Anolis sagrei: one gene and its partner. The protein of the gene in region 2 interacts with the protein of the main gene of each other region in a biochemical or structural test. Links are inferred from orthologs where the notes say so. Each region holds a gene or a part of one and is shown on either strand. Other genes may lie near its edges.

What was found.
Region 1: the proteins of DNM1L (region 2) and FIS1 form a complex in vitro, tested with the Homo sapiens proteins (2 studies listed by BioGRID). The link is inferred for Anolis sagrei from reciprocal best matches to the Homo sapiens genes DNM1L and FIS1.

The regions. Positions count from the first base shown.
Region 1 is NC_090026.1:11,730,472-11,738,702, reverse strand, and holds the start of FIS1 (mitochondrial fission 1 protein), read right to left. Parts: upstream 3,793-8,231; 5' UTR 3,728-3,792; coding exon 3,683-3,727; intron 1-3,682. UniProt on the Homo sapiens protein: Involved in the fragmentation of the mitochondrial network and its perinuclear clustering. Plays a minor role in the recruitment and association of the fission mediator dynamin-related protein 1 (DNM1L) to the mitochondrial surface and mitochondrial fission.
Region 2 is NC_090025.1:176,169,767-176,178,250, reverse strand, and holds the start of DNM1L (dynamin-1-like protein), read left to right. Parts: upstream 1-5,259; 5' UTR 5,260-5,398; coding exon 5,399-5,500; intron 5,501-8,484. UniProt on the Homo sapiens protein: Functions in mitochondrial and peroxisomal division.

The DNA.
Region 1 (8,231 bases), on a different chromosome or scaffold from region 2:
GATTTGAATGTATTTTAACTTTGAATGTATTTTAATAATGTCTAATATGTTATAATTGTAAACTATTTAAAGGTGAATTTGTTGTACCAGTAAGGTCTTCTCGCGGACCACCCTGAGAATTTTAGGGGGGGGAGCTGAAGCCCCTCAAGCCCCCCCCCCTCCCCGGGCTACGGGCTTGATATACTATTAACAGGTTATAATTCTGGATATGTCGGGAAGTCTGACTTGGCCACGGTGGTACACGCTCTGGTCACATCCCGCCTTGACTACTGCAACGCTCTCTACGTGGGGCTGCCCTTGAAGACGGCCCGGAAGCTTCAGCTAGTCCAGCGCGCGGCAGCCATGTTACTAACAGGAGCGGGACGCAGGGAGCATACAACGCCCTTGTTGTTCCAGCTCCATTGGCTGCCGATCTGCTACCGGGCCCAATTTAAGGTGCTGGTGTTATCCTACAAAGCCCTAAACGGTTCCGGCCCAAAATATCTTTCGGACCGCATCTCGGCCTATGAGCCCACGAGGGCCTTGAGATCGTCTGGGGAGGCCCTTCTCTCGATCCCGCCTGCTTCACAGGCACGTCTGGCGGGGACGAGAGAGAGGGCCTTCTCGGTGATGGCCCCCCGGCTGTGGAACACCCTCCCTGTTGACATCAGACAGGCGCCCTCCCTTATGTCTTTCCGAAAGAGCCTAAAGACATGGCTATTTGAGAAGGCATTTAACTGAGTGCTACATTAATTGGTAATGACAACTGGAACGGAATATGGATTACGAGATTGGTGACGATTCGACGATGAGACGGAGCGGATTATTTAGTGTAATTATATTATTGTGTATTAGTGATATGTTGATTTTTCGTTATTGCTTTATTGTAAATTGTCTTTTATATGTTGTACACCGCAGTGAGTCGCCCTAGGGCTGAGAACGGCGGTCAACAAATGCAGCAAATAAATAAATAAATAAATATAAGTATGTGTGTGTGTATGTATGTATATATGTATGTGTGTGTGTGTGTGTGTATGTGTGTGTATATATAAATGCTCATTTGTGGGATTAACAGAACTCAAAAACCACTGGGGGAATTGACACCAAATTTGGACACAAGACACTTAACAAACCAATATATGTCCTTCACTTAAAAAAAATTGATTTTGTCATTTGGGAGTTGTAGTTGCTGGGATTTATAGTTCACCTACAATCAAAGAACATTCTGAACCCCACCAACGATGGAATTGAACCAAACTTGGCACACAGTTCTCCCATGACCAACAGAAAATACTGGAAGGGTTTGGTGGGCAAACCCTTCCAGTTTTTGGAGTTGTAGTTCACCTACATCCAGAGATCACTGTGGACTCAAACAATGATGGCTCTGGACCAAACTCTACACGAATACTCAACATGCCCAAACGTGAACACTGGTGGAGTTTGGGGGAAATAGAATCTTGACATTTGGGAGTTGTAGTTGCTGGGATTCATAGTTCACCTACAATCACAGAGCAATCTGAACCCCACCAATGAATTGGGCCAAACCTCCCACACAGAACCCCCAAGTGGGCCACAGCAACGCGTGGCAGGGGACGGCTTGTGTGTTTGTGTGTATAAATGTATATATAAAATGTGTGTGTATAAATATAAATATACACACACATTATATATACATACACCCACATATATACATATATAGATATACATATACAAACCCAGAATTATAACCTGTTAATAGTGTATACCTTCCTCTTTGAAAAAATGCATGTATATCAACCCCACTGCTGTACCAGCTCCACTGGCTGCCGATCTGCTACTGGGCTCAATTCAAGGTGCTGGCATTAGCCTATAAAGCCCTAAACGGTTCCGGCCCAAGATACCTAACTGACCGCCTCTCGACCTATGAGCCCACGAGGACTTTGAGATCTTCCGGGGAGGCTCTGCTCTTGATCCCACCTGCTTCACAGGCACGGCTGGCGGGGACGAGAGATAGGGCCTTCTCGGTGGTGGCTCCTCGGCTGTGGAACACCCTCCTCGTGGACATCAGACTAGCTCCCTCCCTGCTGATATTCCGCAGGAAATTAAAGACCTGGCTGTTTAAGAAGGCGTTTGAACAAGAAGTACAACAATTGGTAATTGACCATAGGAATGAACAACGGAAATTGATACTGGATTGTGGTTTTGGCGATGAGACGACACGGAATGGTTTTTGTAGTAATGATGATGTTTTTGATGATGTTTTCTGATAATGTTGAATTGTGGATTATTTTATACTGTGTCTTATATTTTGCACCTTGTTTTTTGCTATATTGTACACTGCAGTGAGTCGCCCCTGGGCTGAGAACTGCAGTATATAAGCGAAGTAAATAAATAAATAAATAAATAATGTAGATGTAGATATAGAGCAATGTGGGTCCCCAGATGTTTTAGCCTACAACTCCCAGAAATCCTAAGAGCTGGTAAACTGGCTAGAATTTGTGGGAGTTGTAGGCCAAAACACCTAGGGACCCACAGGTTGAGAACCACTGATATAGAGTATTCTTAACTGCTGTGCAGTGGGAAGGAATCCCACTGGAGCATTGCAGCGCACCCAAATACCTGGGAGTCACTCTGGACCGTGCTCTTACCTACAAGAAGCACTGCCTGAACATCAAGCAAAAAGTGGGTGCTAGAAACAATATCATACGAAAGCTGACTGGCACAACCTGGGGATCACAACCAGATACAGTGAAGACATCTGCCCTTGCGCTATGCTACTCTGCTGCTGAGTACGCATGCCCAGTGTGGAACACATCTCACCACACTAAAACAGTGGATGTGGCTCTTAATGAGACATGCCGCATTATCAAGGGGTATCTGCGCCCTACACCACTGGAGAAATTACACTGCTTAGCCGGTATTGCACCACCTGACATCCGCCGGGAAGTAGCAGCCAATAGTGAAAGGACCAAGGCAGAGACATCTCCAGCTCATCCCCTGTTTGGGTATCAGCCAGCACGCCAACAACTTAAATCTAGACATAGTTTTCTAAGATCTACAGAGACACTCGCTGGAACACCTCAGCAAGCAAGAGTCCAAAAGTGGCAGGCTCAAACCCAGCACCTCAACCAATGGCTGATACCAAATGAGAGACTCCCTCCTGGGCACACAGAAGACTGGGCGACTTGGAAGGCATTGAACAGACTGCGCTCTGGCACGAGATGCAGAGCCAACCTTCAGAAATGGGGCTACAAAGTAGAATCCTCGACATGCGAGTGTGGAGAAGAGCAAACCACTGACCACCCGCTGCAATGCAACCTGAGCCCTGTCCCATGCACAATGGAGGACCTTCTTGCAGCAACACCGGAAGCACTCCAAGTGGCCAGATACTGGTCAAAGGACATTTAACCAGCTACCAAACTCACAAGTTGTGTATTTTTCTGTTTGTTTGCTCTGTTCTGTTAGAAATGTAATATAATGGACTGGTTGCTCTGACACGACAAATAAATAAAACTGCTTTGGTGAATACATATCTTGGGGGGGGGGGGGGAATATCCAGGATCACAAAGGGCCGTATCCCTTTAAAGGGGGCGGGGTGACACCCTGTAGTTTGTTTACCACCCTCTCGCCTGGGAACCGAGGCACACTGGCCCTTTAACTGGAGGCTCCATTTCACCAGCACAGCTTCACGATTATTATGGGAGGGAAAATATCTCCTGCTCACCTGTAGATCCTCCAGCGCCACCACTTCACTCACCACCGACTCCATTGCGCCCAATCCCGGAAGCGCTGACCTCAGCCGGAAACGGAAATCAGTTCCATTTCCTCCCTTCAAGTGCCACACCACGGCTTCACATTTGCTACGTCATTCTTTTTCCCCCTCCTTCGACTATAAAACTGCGCATGCGCTATCTGATTTTGCGGCTGGCGTTCCATTCCTCTTCTTCTTTGCGCTCATTGGAGGAGGAGAGCCAAAGGACCGCCCCCTAAAGGGTCCTGAACCAATCGCTAGCGAGAGGCCGGTCTACCTTGGCCACAAACGGTTCAGAGGTTCCTTAGAACTATTCAAACACATGATCTTAATGTCTGTGTAATGTGTTCCAATTGTGTTTTCTGTGACGACACCCCCCTGGCTACTGGTATTGAAAAACTCTAAAATCAGTACAGTAAATAAAGAGCAACACTCAAAAAAACAAGGGAATTCCAGACAAGAAACAATCAGGGCCAGCTAACACCTCCCAACAAAGGATTCCCCAGGAAGCAACCAGCTAGGCTTTGCAGCTGCAAGGTCATTAAATAATAATAATAATCCAGTTCTTGTGAAACAACCAGGCACATCTTAACACCTCTCTACAGAACATTTTCCCAGGCTCAGGCAGGCCTTCAAATGCTAATGAAGGTGGTCAGCTGAAACATTCACACCTAGCTTCAGCAGAGAGCTCTCTGCCCCACCCCAGTCATTCCACAGATATATAAATCCATTTTCCTATTTCCAACAGACCTCACTACCTCTGAGGATGCTTGCCATAGATGCAGGCGAAACGTCAGGAGAAATGCCTCTAGAACATGGCCCTATAGCCCGAAAAACCCCACAAGAACTGAGTGATTCCGGCCATGAAAGCCTTTGACAATACAATAATAATAATAATAATAATAATAATAATAATAAATGCTAATCAAGGTGCTCTATTGCAGCATTAAAATAAGAACAGCGCTCAAAAACGGGCATGCCAGGCAATAATCAATCAGAACCAGCTAATCACCTCCCAACAAAGGATTCCCCCAGGCAGGAAGCAGCCAAGCCTTGAAGCTGCAGGGCCATTAAATACTAATGAAGGTGTTCAATTGCAGCATTAAAAAAAGAACATTCAAAAACGGGAATTCCGGACAAGAAACAATCAGGATCAGCTAATCACTTCCCAACAGGCAGCAACCAGCTAAGCTTTGCAGCTGCGAGGCCATTAAATGTTAATCATGATGCTCGACTGCAGCATTAAAGAAAGAACACTCAAAAATGGGAATTCCGGACAAGAAACAATCAGGGCCAGCTAATCACCTCCCAACAAAGGAGTCCCCCAGGCAGCAACCAGCTAAGCTTTGCAGCTGCAAGGCCATTAAATGCTAATTAAGGTGCTGAATTGCAACATTAAAGAAAGAACACTCAAAAACGGGAATTCCTGACAAGAAACAACCAAGACCAGCTAATCATCTCCCAACAAAGGATTCCCCTAGGCAGGAAGCAGAGAAGCTTTGAAGCTGCAAGGCTATTCAATGCTAATCAAGGTGCTCAATTGCAGCATTGACACTTGCCTCAAACAGACAAGAGTTCTTCCACTCCGGACATTCAATAGATATATAAACCTCACTTACTTAGTTTCCAACAGATCTCATGACCCCTGAGGATGCCTGCCATAGATGTGGGCAAAATGTCAGGAGAGAATGCTTCTAGAACACGGCCATAGAGCAGAAAACTCACAGAAACCTAAACCCCTCTATACTGGAAACTGAAAAAAAATAGCCTTATTTGACTCTGGAAACTTCTTTGTGATTCTGGTCCTCTTTCCATTTGGCCTTTTTCCACACTACACAATTATAGCAGTATAGTCACACTTTAATTCCTATGGAATCCTGGAATTGGCAGATTAAGGTGGGAGATAAACCCGGATCCCAGGTTTTCTGCTTTGGACTGGAATATATGAGTTCATACTACCAGATAATCTGGGATAAACAAAAACCTGGGATCAGATCCTGGGATATAGGGCCTGTCTGGAAGGGTCCTTCGAATGATCAACTAGAGAGATATAGTGCATGCTTGCTGTGTTGACTACCAACGAGTCTACTTTGATTAGGAAACCTTCAAAGTTGTATTTACACTATAGAATTAAAACAGTTTGATACTACTTTCATTGCCATGGGATCATGGGAGATGTAGTTTTACAGGCTCTCTGGCGTCCTCCGACCAAGAGTGTTGGTGCCTCACCAAACTACAAATCCCACAATTCCATAGCACTGAGTCGTAGCAGGTAATGTGGCTTCAAACTGCATTCATTCTAGAGTGTAGATCAGGTATGGGCAAACTTGGGCCCTACAGGTGTTTTGGACTCCAACTCCCACAATTCCTAACAGCCGGTAGGCTATTAGGAATTGTGGGAGTTGGAGTCCAAAACACCTGGAGGGCTCAAGTTTGCCCGTGCCTGGTGTAGATATACCCCAAGTTGCCCTGCAGAATCAGGGAAGACTTGGCTTCCTTTATGGAGTTCCTCCACTTCTGATGTATTATTATCCTTTTCTGACAAGCCTGATAGTATGCTACAAACTACAAATCCCAGCATCCCATAGCCATTGGCACATAGTGTGGAATCATAGTGCTATAGCACCACGATGCGGAAGAGCCATGAGAGGCAAGTTAGTTCAAAAACCTTGGGTTGGATTCAATTCCACAAACATCACCAAAGGGAGCATCATTATCATTTATTATTATTTAACATGGGACGTACTGAAAGTATGTTATCATCTCAAGCTGATGGGATTTGAATCAGAAGTCCCCAGCGCATCGAACCATCTGATCCACAGATTTCTCTAGTGAGCTACCGTAAATCAAAGATTTGATAATGTCTCTCCAATCTATATACTTTCCTAACTCGAGAAGCAAGTTGTAACCTGCCCTCAATTGCATGCATTTACCTGATATTTTCTCGGTGGTAATTGCAACAAAAATAATCATAGCAACTCCCCTGGCGTGCCATTCATCAGTCTATCATGGGAATTAGCATATTGCTAACTCCGCTTAGTATATTGCTTATTTGGTTAATGAGTCCGAACGGCCCTGAGGACGAAAGTTGGTAGAATAGCATGTTCCAAATGGGAATCAATTAATTTTGTCAACTGGGATAGAACTGGAAAAGTTTCATGGCCAGAAGTTCTTGCCTCAAAAATTAATGCTTTGTTTTCTAGTACCATTCTGACACTTTTACACCAGAACAAAAGGGTAGGAAACCAACAGGTGAAGCTTTCCCCACCAATTGCTCTATATCAGCGTTTCTCAACCTGGGGGTTGGGACCCTTGGGTGGGTTGCTAGGGGGTACCAGATAGGTCGCCAATGACCATCAGAAAACACAGTATTTTCTGTTGCTCATGGGGGTTCTGTGTGCGAAGTTTGGCCCAATTCTATCGTTGGTGGGGTTCGGAATGCTCTTTGATTGTAGTTGAACTATAAATCCCAGCAACTAGCACTTCCAAATGTCAAGGTCTATTTCCTCCAAACTCTACCAATGTCCACATTTGAGCATATTGAGTATTTGTGTCAAGTTTGATCCAGATCCATCATTGTTTGAGTCCCCACTGCTTTCTGGATGTAGGTGAACTACAACTCCAAAACCTTCCAATACTTTATGTTGGTCATGGGAGTTCTGTGTGCCAAATTTGGTTCAATTCCAACATTGGTGGAGTTCAGAATGCTCTTTAATTGTAGGTGAACTTTCAATCCCAGCAACTACAACTCCCAAATGACAAAATCAATCCTCCCCAACCCCACCAGTATTCAAATGTGGGTATATCAAATATTTGTGCCAAATTTGATCCAGAGGATGCAAATACATCCTGCATATCGAATATTTACATTATAATTCATAACAGTAGCAAAATTAGAGTTATGAAGTAGCAATGAAAATGTTATGGTTGGGGGTCATGACAACATGAGGAACTGTATTAAGGGGTCACGGTATTGGGAAGGTTAAGAAACACTGCTTTAGGTAGTATGTGTTCCTTTGAGGTAGCCTGGCAAGATGTTGACAAATCTTCCCAGGACAAGGAAGTGCAGGCAAAGGTGATCGCAAAACTTCAGCTGGTGACTTCTCCAATAATTTTGTACAGTTATACAGAAGCATAGACAAGATTATACATACAATGTTCCCTCACTACTTGGCAATTCGCTTTTTGCAGACTCGCTGTTCCACGTGTTTTTGCCTCCCCGTTTATGAATGGTTGCCATTGCCCAAAAACTACTAACAAATACCAGTCTGGTGGCCGTTATCTAGCCGAAGTTTGTGGTTGGAGACTCTATAGTCCATTACCATAGCCATTGTCATCGTTGCTATTGTCCGCATAGTTACCCGAAGGCCTGGTCCCCTATCCACATTTTTAACTTCTTTCTAAAGGAGATAACCTAATTTCCCCGAGGAGTGAATTCCACAGGCGGGGGGCCACCACCAATAAGGCCCTGTCCCTCATCCCCACCAAGCACGTTTGAGACAGAGGCGGGGCCAAGAGCATA
Region 2 (8,484 bases):
ATCCCCATTGTGTCCAAACAGGTCTTTCTGTGTTTAATGAGTCCAGCCATATCCAAATTCTGTATCAATAGAGTCTATTAAATCTATAGTGTAAAAAAAGGCATGCTTGGAGGTGAGATACCCAATACCTGCACTACAATAGGTACATCTGTAGAATTAATGCAGCTTAACACCCCTTTAACTGTTCTGGAAGCTGTATTTCTGGCATAGGAGAGGGATTGGCTGGTGACTGCTGGAAGAGCACTTTTGTTTTCTTGATGTTTAATGACAGGCCGAGCTTCTCGTAAGTTTCTGCGAAGGTGTTTAGAGTGGCTTGTGGGTTTTCTTCTGAATGCACACAGACGACGTTGTCATCAGCATATTCAAGTTCTATAACAGATGTTGTAACCTTGGTTTTGGCTTTCAGACTGCTGAGGTTAAATAGCTTGCCATCTGTTCGATAATGATTTCCACTCCAGTGGGAAGCTTCCCGTCAACAAGATGAAGTATCATAGCGATGAAGATGGAAAATAAGGTTGGGGTGAAGCATCTGACCAAAGCACCCATTGGCATTAACGAACAACTATCAACCATCCGATTTAACCTTGCCAAAAACCAAAAGGCAACCGTCATAAATGCCTATGCACTAACACAGACTCAGAAGCATAGTGGGCAGATCAAAAGACAACCTGGCAAAATGGCACTACCTAGAAGAATCCTCCACCTTGTGTGACTGCGGAGCAGAACAGACAACTCCGCACCAGTATGCTTGTCCACTACACTCTGCTTCATGTACAGAGGAAGAATTATTGGAGGCTACAGACAATGCGGTTGCTGTTGCCAGTTTTTGGTCAAAAGATATTTAGCCACTTGTGCTCCTTCTATTTGTATCAGTTTTATACTAATTTATGCAATGCTTTTGATACAAAATATATTGATAAAAAGGAAGAACTTCCTGACTGTAAGAAGAGCTGTTCAGCAGTGGAACTCTCTGCCTCGGGAGTGTGGCAGAAGCTCCTTCCTTGAAAACTCCTCATATTGCACTTCCTTCCACCTTTCTGAAGGCCTATCTCCACTATTCTGTCCCCTACAAGCTCCTCCCTTACAAATATTCCTTTTTTATTTTTATCTCATCCAGAGGTTTATCATTTTACGTCATACATTTGGCTCACCCATTGCATTTGATTTTTCATTTTGTTACTTTGAACTGCTTTATTGTACTTTTAGGTTTTACTTATTTTATTGTGATGTTATTTTTGTCGCTCTGTATTTATTTTGCTGTAATGTTGCCCGAGGGCTGAAAAAAGCGGTATATAAATAAAGTAAATAATATATAAATAAGGTAAATAAGTAATGTACTACCGGGCTTGGCCTCATGTAAGCCGCCCCAAGTCCCCTTTGGGGAGATGATGGCGGGGTATAAATAAAGTTTATAATTATATTATTATAAACCTTTAAACAGAGGCTGGATGGCCATCTGCCAGGGGTGCTTTGATTGTGCTTTTCCTGTATGGCAGGGGGTTGGACTAGATGACCCAGGTCGTTGCTTCCAACTCTATAATAGGCATGAGCAAGTGTAATGATTCTTACCTAGTAGGCTGAAGGAGAAGCCAGGGATATCAGTGAGGTAGGCCTCCGTTTTGGGAGTGTACGCAAAGGAAGCAGACATCTTGAGAGGGTAAAGTGAGAAGAGGGGAGGAGCTGGAGATTTCTTAGGATTGGTTAGGACAGATGGGAGGAGTTAAGTCCTGAGAGGGAAAAGTGTCAGCTTCACAGAGAGAAGGGTTTTAGGAATTGAAGAAGAGAGATTGAATTTGGGAACAGAAGAGAGAGGAGAGGTATTTTTAGGCTTAGGATTTTTCTGACAGAGCGTTTGTGACAGGCAAGGCTGCATTATTGGCCAGGACGGTCAAGTAGTCACCTGGGTGCTTGTGTGGGCTTACACAAGTGCTTTGCTCTCTGGGTAGAGTAGATTAGCCACATAGAGAACTCTGCTTAGAGTGGGCTAATTGCTCTGAAGACAGCCTGAGTAGGTTAGTCTAGGGAACTCACTGCTACTGTATTATTGTAGAGTGAGGAGTTTTACGAGTGACTAAGTCAAGTAACCTGTTTAAAGTAACCATCAAGAATACTGTACTGTAGTAACCATTTAAGCTTTTGTGCCTCATCAAAGAAGACAGTTGTTTGTTTGATCTTATCAATAAATCTTTTATCTATTTCAACTTTTAAAGAAGCCTCGGTTGTAATTCATTCCTGTGAGAATAATCCTAGTTGTTTTAACATCTTAACATCACAGTCATCTCAGGGAGCTAAGGGAGAAGTGTGTGGCAAGGAAGAAGTTAACCTCAGAGAATCATTCTTCAATATCCTGAAGTATTTTAGGTGGTGGCAGCAAATCTACCAGAGTACACACTGTGCTGGTACAGCTGTACCAGGAGCTCCAATTCTGTTTGCTTTGCATTAAATGTTTGTTTGCAATCCCAGGCTTGGGATTTTGTAGCAAGGTGGCTTCCTGTTATAGGTTGCAATCATAGGGCAAGCCACCTGTCAATTATCGATAGGTTCCCTGATCCCGCCCCTTTTTGAGTTTTAGTGGGAATAGAAGCCATTTTGAGTTCAGTCCACACAGAGCAGCTTTCCATACAGGACATGAAACCAAGAGCTCCTGTAGAAAGCTTCGTCTTCTACGGCTTGGCCAGGGAGATATACAGCCTACAGCTTGGCCGGGGTTATACAGCCCACGGCTTGGCCGGGGAGACACAGCCCACAGCTTGGCTGAGGATTTTGCAGCCTTACAGCTCCTTTGCTGAGGGACTTCAGCCGGCCATCACTGAAACCTGAACTCCTTTTTTCCCAAGGAAGTTTACAAAGCTCTGCTTGATAAGGGCCGCTTGCAGAAGCCAGACGCAGTTGGTACCAGGTGCAGGGGCTCCATGCCAACAGAGGCAAGTACAGACTGCCCAGATTAGAAGTTAAGGATTTCCCCATTAGTTAGTATACAGTTATGAAGATAGTGCCTGTTCCCAGTGAACAAGATTGCAAGAGCCAATAGACTGTTAAGAAAGCTTTAAAGAACCTGTTTGTTTTCATCAATAAAGAACTTTGTTGGACTTACTTTAAGCCTCTACAGAACTCTGTTTGGGGGGAATCCAAAGGCCTTTAATCTGAGGCAGCCCCGGCGTCCCGTTGGGAATTTATGTCCTGTCTACAGTCATATGCACAGGCCCAGTGTGCGACAGCACACACGTTACCTCATATATATATACAAACACTCTGTGAAAGAACCTATATTCCTTTATACTGGTGTCAGCAGGTGGGATATGTGATATATTTTCCCCCCTGACAGCGTAAAAGGTCCCTTCACCTATATGTAATTTCGTTACGAGTGGTGACCAGCGGTGTAATTTAGAATAGCATACTTATAATAACTCCGTATCAGGATCACGTTCCTTTATAACAGTGTTTCTCAACCTGGGGGTCGGGACCCCTGGAGGGGTCACGAGGGGGTGCCAGAGGGTTCACCAGAGACCACAAGAAAGCACAGTATTTTTTGTTGGTCATGGAGGTTCTGTGTGGGAAGTTTGGCCCAATTCAATCATTGGCAGGGTTCAGAATGCTCTTTGATTGTAGGTGAACTATAAATACCAGCAACTACAACTCCCAAATGTCAAGGTCTATTTTCCCCAAACCCCACTAGTGTTTACATTTGGGAATATTGAGAATTCGTGCCAAGTTTGGTCTAGATCCATCATTGTTTGAGTCCACAGTGCTCTCTGGATGTAGGTGAACTACAACTCCCAAAACTCAAGGTCACTGCCTACCAAACCTTCCCAGTATTTTCTCCTGGTCATGGGAATTTTGTGTGCCAAGTTTGATTCAACTCCATTCCCTAAGGTCCAGCTCTCACATCCGTAGGTTACTACAGGGAATACCATGGCTTTGCCTAGGCGGTGGAGTTCAGAATGCTCTTTGATTGTAGGTGAACTATAAATCCCAGCAACTACAACTCCCACAGGACAAAACTAATACTCTTCCCCAATCCCACCAGTATTTAAATTTGGGTGTATTGGGTCTTTGTGCCAAATTTGGTCCAGTGTATGAAAATACATCTTGAATATCAGATATTTACATTACTATTCATGTTGTTGTTGTTCATTCGTTCAGTCGTCTCCGACTCGTGACCTCATGGACCAGCCCACGCCAGAGCTCCCTGTCGGCCGTCACCACCCCCAGCTCCTTCAAGGTCAGTCCAGTCACTTCAAGGATGCCATCCATCCATCTTGTCCTTGGTCGGCCCCTCTTCCTTTTACCTTCCACTTTCCCCAGCATAATTGTCTTCTCCAGGGTTTGCTGTCTCCTCATGATGTGGCCAAAGGACTTCAACTTTGTCTCTAGTATCCTTCCCTCCAATGAGCAGTTGGGCTTTATTTCTTGGAGGATGGACTGGTTGGATCTTCTCGCGGTCCAAGTCACTCTCAGCACTTTCCTCCAACACCACAGTTCAAAAGCATCGATCTTCCTTTGCTCAGCCTTACCTAAGGTCCAGCTCTCACATCCGTAGGTGACTACAGGGAATACCATGGCTTTGACTAGGCGGATCTTTGTTGCCAGTGTGATGTCTCTGCTCTTTACTATTTTATCGAGATTGGACATTGCTCTCCTCCCAAGAAGTAAGCGTCTTCTGATTTCCTGGTCACAGTCTGCATCTGCAGTAATCTTTGCACCTAGAAATACAAAGTCTGTCACAGCCTCCACATAGATATTTACATTGCTATTCAGAACAGCAGCAAAATGACAGTTGTGAAGTAGCAATGAAACTAATTTTATGGTTGGGGGTCACCATAACATTAAGGGGTCGTGGCATTAGGAAGGTTGAGAACCACTGCTTTATAGCAAGCTTGGGCCCTCCAGGTAGGCTGTTAGGAATTGTAGGATTTGAAGTCCAAAACACCTGGAGGGCCCAAGCTTGCCCATGCCTGTTCTATTCTAATTGCACTCTTTGGCCTTGGAAAACTCCCATGATTTCACAGCCTGGAGTCAAAGTGCATCCCTTCTACAATGGAGAAGGCTCTATAATGCAGCCTAAGTACCTCATCACTGGAGTATCTGTCTATCCTAGTACCCACTTTAGATCCTCCTGCAGAATCCTAGCGTTTGAGGCCTCCTGCCTCCGTTTCCTGCTTCTCCCGCCGCCCTCTAGGGGGAAACAACGGTCCCAATTGCAGCTGCACTACAACTCCCGGCAGCCTTTGCGAAGGCTTGGCCTCCTGCGGTGGCGCGCATGCGTAGGGCCTGCCGGGAGTGAGCGGGGCCGGCGCCAGTGGTCGGCGGCGGGGGAAGGTGCCAGAGCTCGTGCCCTTCCCTGCCGCCGCCGCTTCCTCCATTCATTGCCCTTCGCCTCCTTCGCCCGCTCGCCGCCATGGAGGCGCTGATTCCCGTCATCAATAAGCTGCAGGACGTCTTCAACACGGTGGGCGCCGACATCATCCAGCTGCCGCAGATTGTGGTGGTGGGCACGCAGGTGAGGCGGGCCGCTCGGGGGCGGGGCCTGGGCGCGTGTGGGCGGGGCCTGGGCCACCACAGTGGGCGGGGCTTAAGCCAGGATGACCTCCACCTGGGCAGAAGGTCTAGGGGTGCTGTTGGAGTGCTCAAGTGAGAGGCTCAAGGGTGGCTTTTATTTTAATTACTCTTATCAATATTTGCATTTGGGGTTTTATTATTTGGTTGGGGTGTTGGCCTACAAAAGTACTTCTCCCTTAATCTGAAATGCTTGGGACCAGGCTTTTCACCAGACTAAGGCGAAAGTCTTGCAAGGCCTGCAATATCTTGTCACTTAATAATTACTTGATTAAATCTTTCCATAGGAATACTGTTTTGTTTTTTCATTTCCAATTTCCATATTTTCAATACCATAGCACCATATTTCCAATATTATTTTACAACACAACAATTTCCAGTACCATAGCATCATATTTCCAATATTATTTTCCAATATGATTTCCAGTACCCCAGCATCATATTTCCAGTATTATTTTCCAGCATAACCATTTCCAATACCATAGCATATTCCCAATATTATTTTCCAGTGCAACAATTTCCAATATTGTAGAATCATATTTCCAATACAATTTCCAATACAATGATTTCCAGTACCATAGCATCATATTTCCAGTATTATTTTCCAACATAACCATTTCCAATACCAAAGCATCATATTTCCAATATTATTTTCCAACATAACCATTTCCAGTACCATAGCATCATATTTCCAATATTGTTTTCCAGTGCAGCAATTTCCAATACCGTAGTATCTTATTTCCAATACCATTTCCAATACAACGAGTTCCAGTACCCTAGCATCATATTTCCAATATTGTTTTCCAGTGCAACAATTTCCAATACTGTAGTATCATATTTCCAATACCATTTCCAATACAATGATTTCTAGTACCATAGCATCATGTTCCCAATATTATTTTCTAGTGCAACAGTTTCCAATACCATTTCCAATACAATGATTTCCAGTATCATAGCATCATATTTCCAATATTGTTTTCCAGTGCAGCAATTTCCAATACCGTAGTATCATATTTCCAATACCATTTCCAATACAATGATTTCCAGTACCATAGCATCATATTTCCAATATTATTTTCCAGTGCAACAATTTCCAATACTGTAGTATCATATTTTCAATACCATTTCCAATACCATGATTTCCAGTACCATATTATTATATATCCAATATTACTTTAAAATACAGCAATTTCCAATTCCATAGTATCATATTTCCAATTCCATTTCCAATACAGTAATTTCCCATATCATGGCATTATACACAGTATGTTTAGGTAATACATTTACATCAGTGGTTCTCAATATGTGGGTCCCCAGGTGTTTTGGCCTACAACTCTCAGAAATCCCAACAAGTTTACCAGATGTTAGGATTTCTGGGATTTGAAGGCCAAAACATCTGGGGACTCACCAGCTGAGAACCAAATCTCATCAGTGGTGTCCAATACTATAGCATATATACAGGATACATGACATTTAGGACCCCCTTGTGACCCAAGTCCAAATATGTATTTTATTTATTTACCCTCTCTCTCTCATTGAAGGACTCAGAGCAGCTAAATTGGATTTTCCCCCCAATACACCTTAACCACATAACCTGAGGATAATTTTATATGGGATATTTTAAATAATTTTGTGCGTGGAGCAAAGCTTGCATGCATTAAACTATCAGAAAGTAAAGGGGCCACTTTGAGTGAAATTCACTGTGAAATTAATGCAGTTTGACACCACTTCCCTAGCTTAGTGTCATGGGATCATGTAGTTTTACAAGGTCTTTAGCCTTCTCTGCCAAAGATTATTACAAACCCAAGAATACCATACCATTGTGCCATTGCAGTTTTCAAATTGCATTTACAGTATAAATGTGCCCTATGCCAGCCCCCCAAGTGGACAGTTTTGTGCTTTGGAGGATTTGGGGTTTCTGGATAAGGAATATTCAGCCTATTACTGCTTATTGCAAGTATTATCCAGTGTTGGTTAAGTGGAGAATTATTAGTGTTCAGAGCACGTTGCAATCCCTATGGGTCTCCTGCTTAATGGCATGCTGCCCAGTTGAAGGGGATGCGTTCCACATTGGAGGATTTAAGTGGGGTGGGGAGATAGGATTTTCAGATCCTGTCCTAATTAAACAATTTGTTCCTGAAAGATAAAAAGCAGCCCTGGATGACATCTTGGAGGCACAGACTGTCCTATTGCTACTGAAGCTTTTGCAATGCCACACAGTACATACTCTCTTTAAGATTGCAGCAACAGTCTACATTATTAGTATTCAGTGCAACAGACTTATGTATTAGATTTAGACTTTTAAAAACCACCAAGGCGGTTCTGGCAGAAAAAAGGCTGGTTAGGAGGTTCCTTGGGGACATTGAGATAGCTGTTCTTGGAAATGGGAGTGATCTTGCTCTGAGCTAGAAAGACAATTCTGATGTCCTTAAAGCTGAAAGGAAACAATATGAGTGTCATAAATGCAAAGATAATACATAGATCTTTAGAACACTGTTGCATGTGGAGTCTGAAGGTTCATCTACACTGCAAAATTAATGCAGTTTGAAACCTTTTTAGCTGTCGTGACTGAATATTAATGGGATTCTGGGAGGTGTAGCTTGTTTGGCACCAGCAGTCTTTGAGATAGAAGACTAAAGTTCTTGTAAAACTACAACACCTATGATTCCATAGCATTGAGCCAAGGCAGGTAAAGCAGTGGCAAACTGCATTAATTCTACAGTGTAGATGTGCTTTCAGTGTACAGTGGTCCTTAGAAATGTATGTGAAACCATGTCCTCACTTGGAGCATGTAACGGCCATTGTCATGATAAACAAACTGGGGAATTCAAAGATTGTGATGCTGTCCAGTTGGTCCATACATAACATCAGAAGTCCCCAAACTAAGGCCTGCAGGCCGGATACGGCCCTCCAAGGTTATTTACTTGG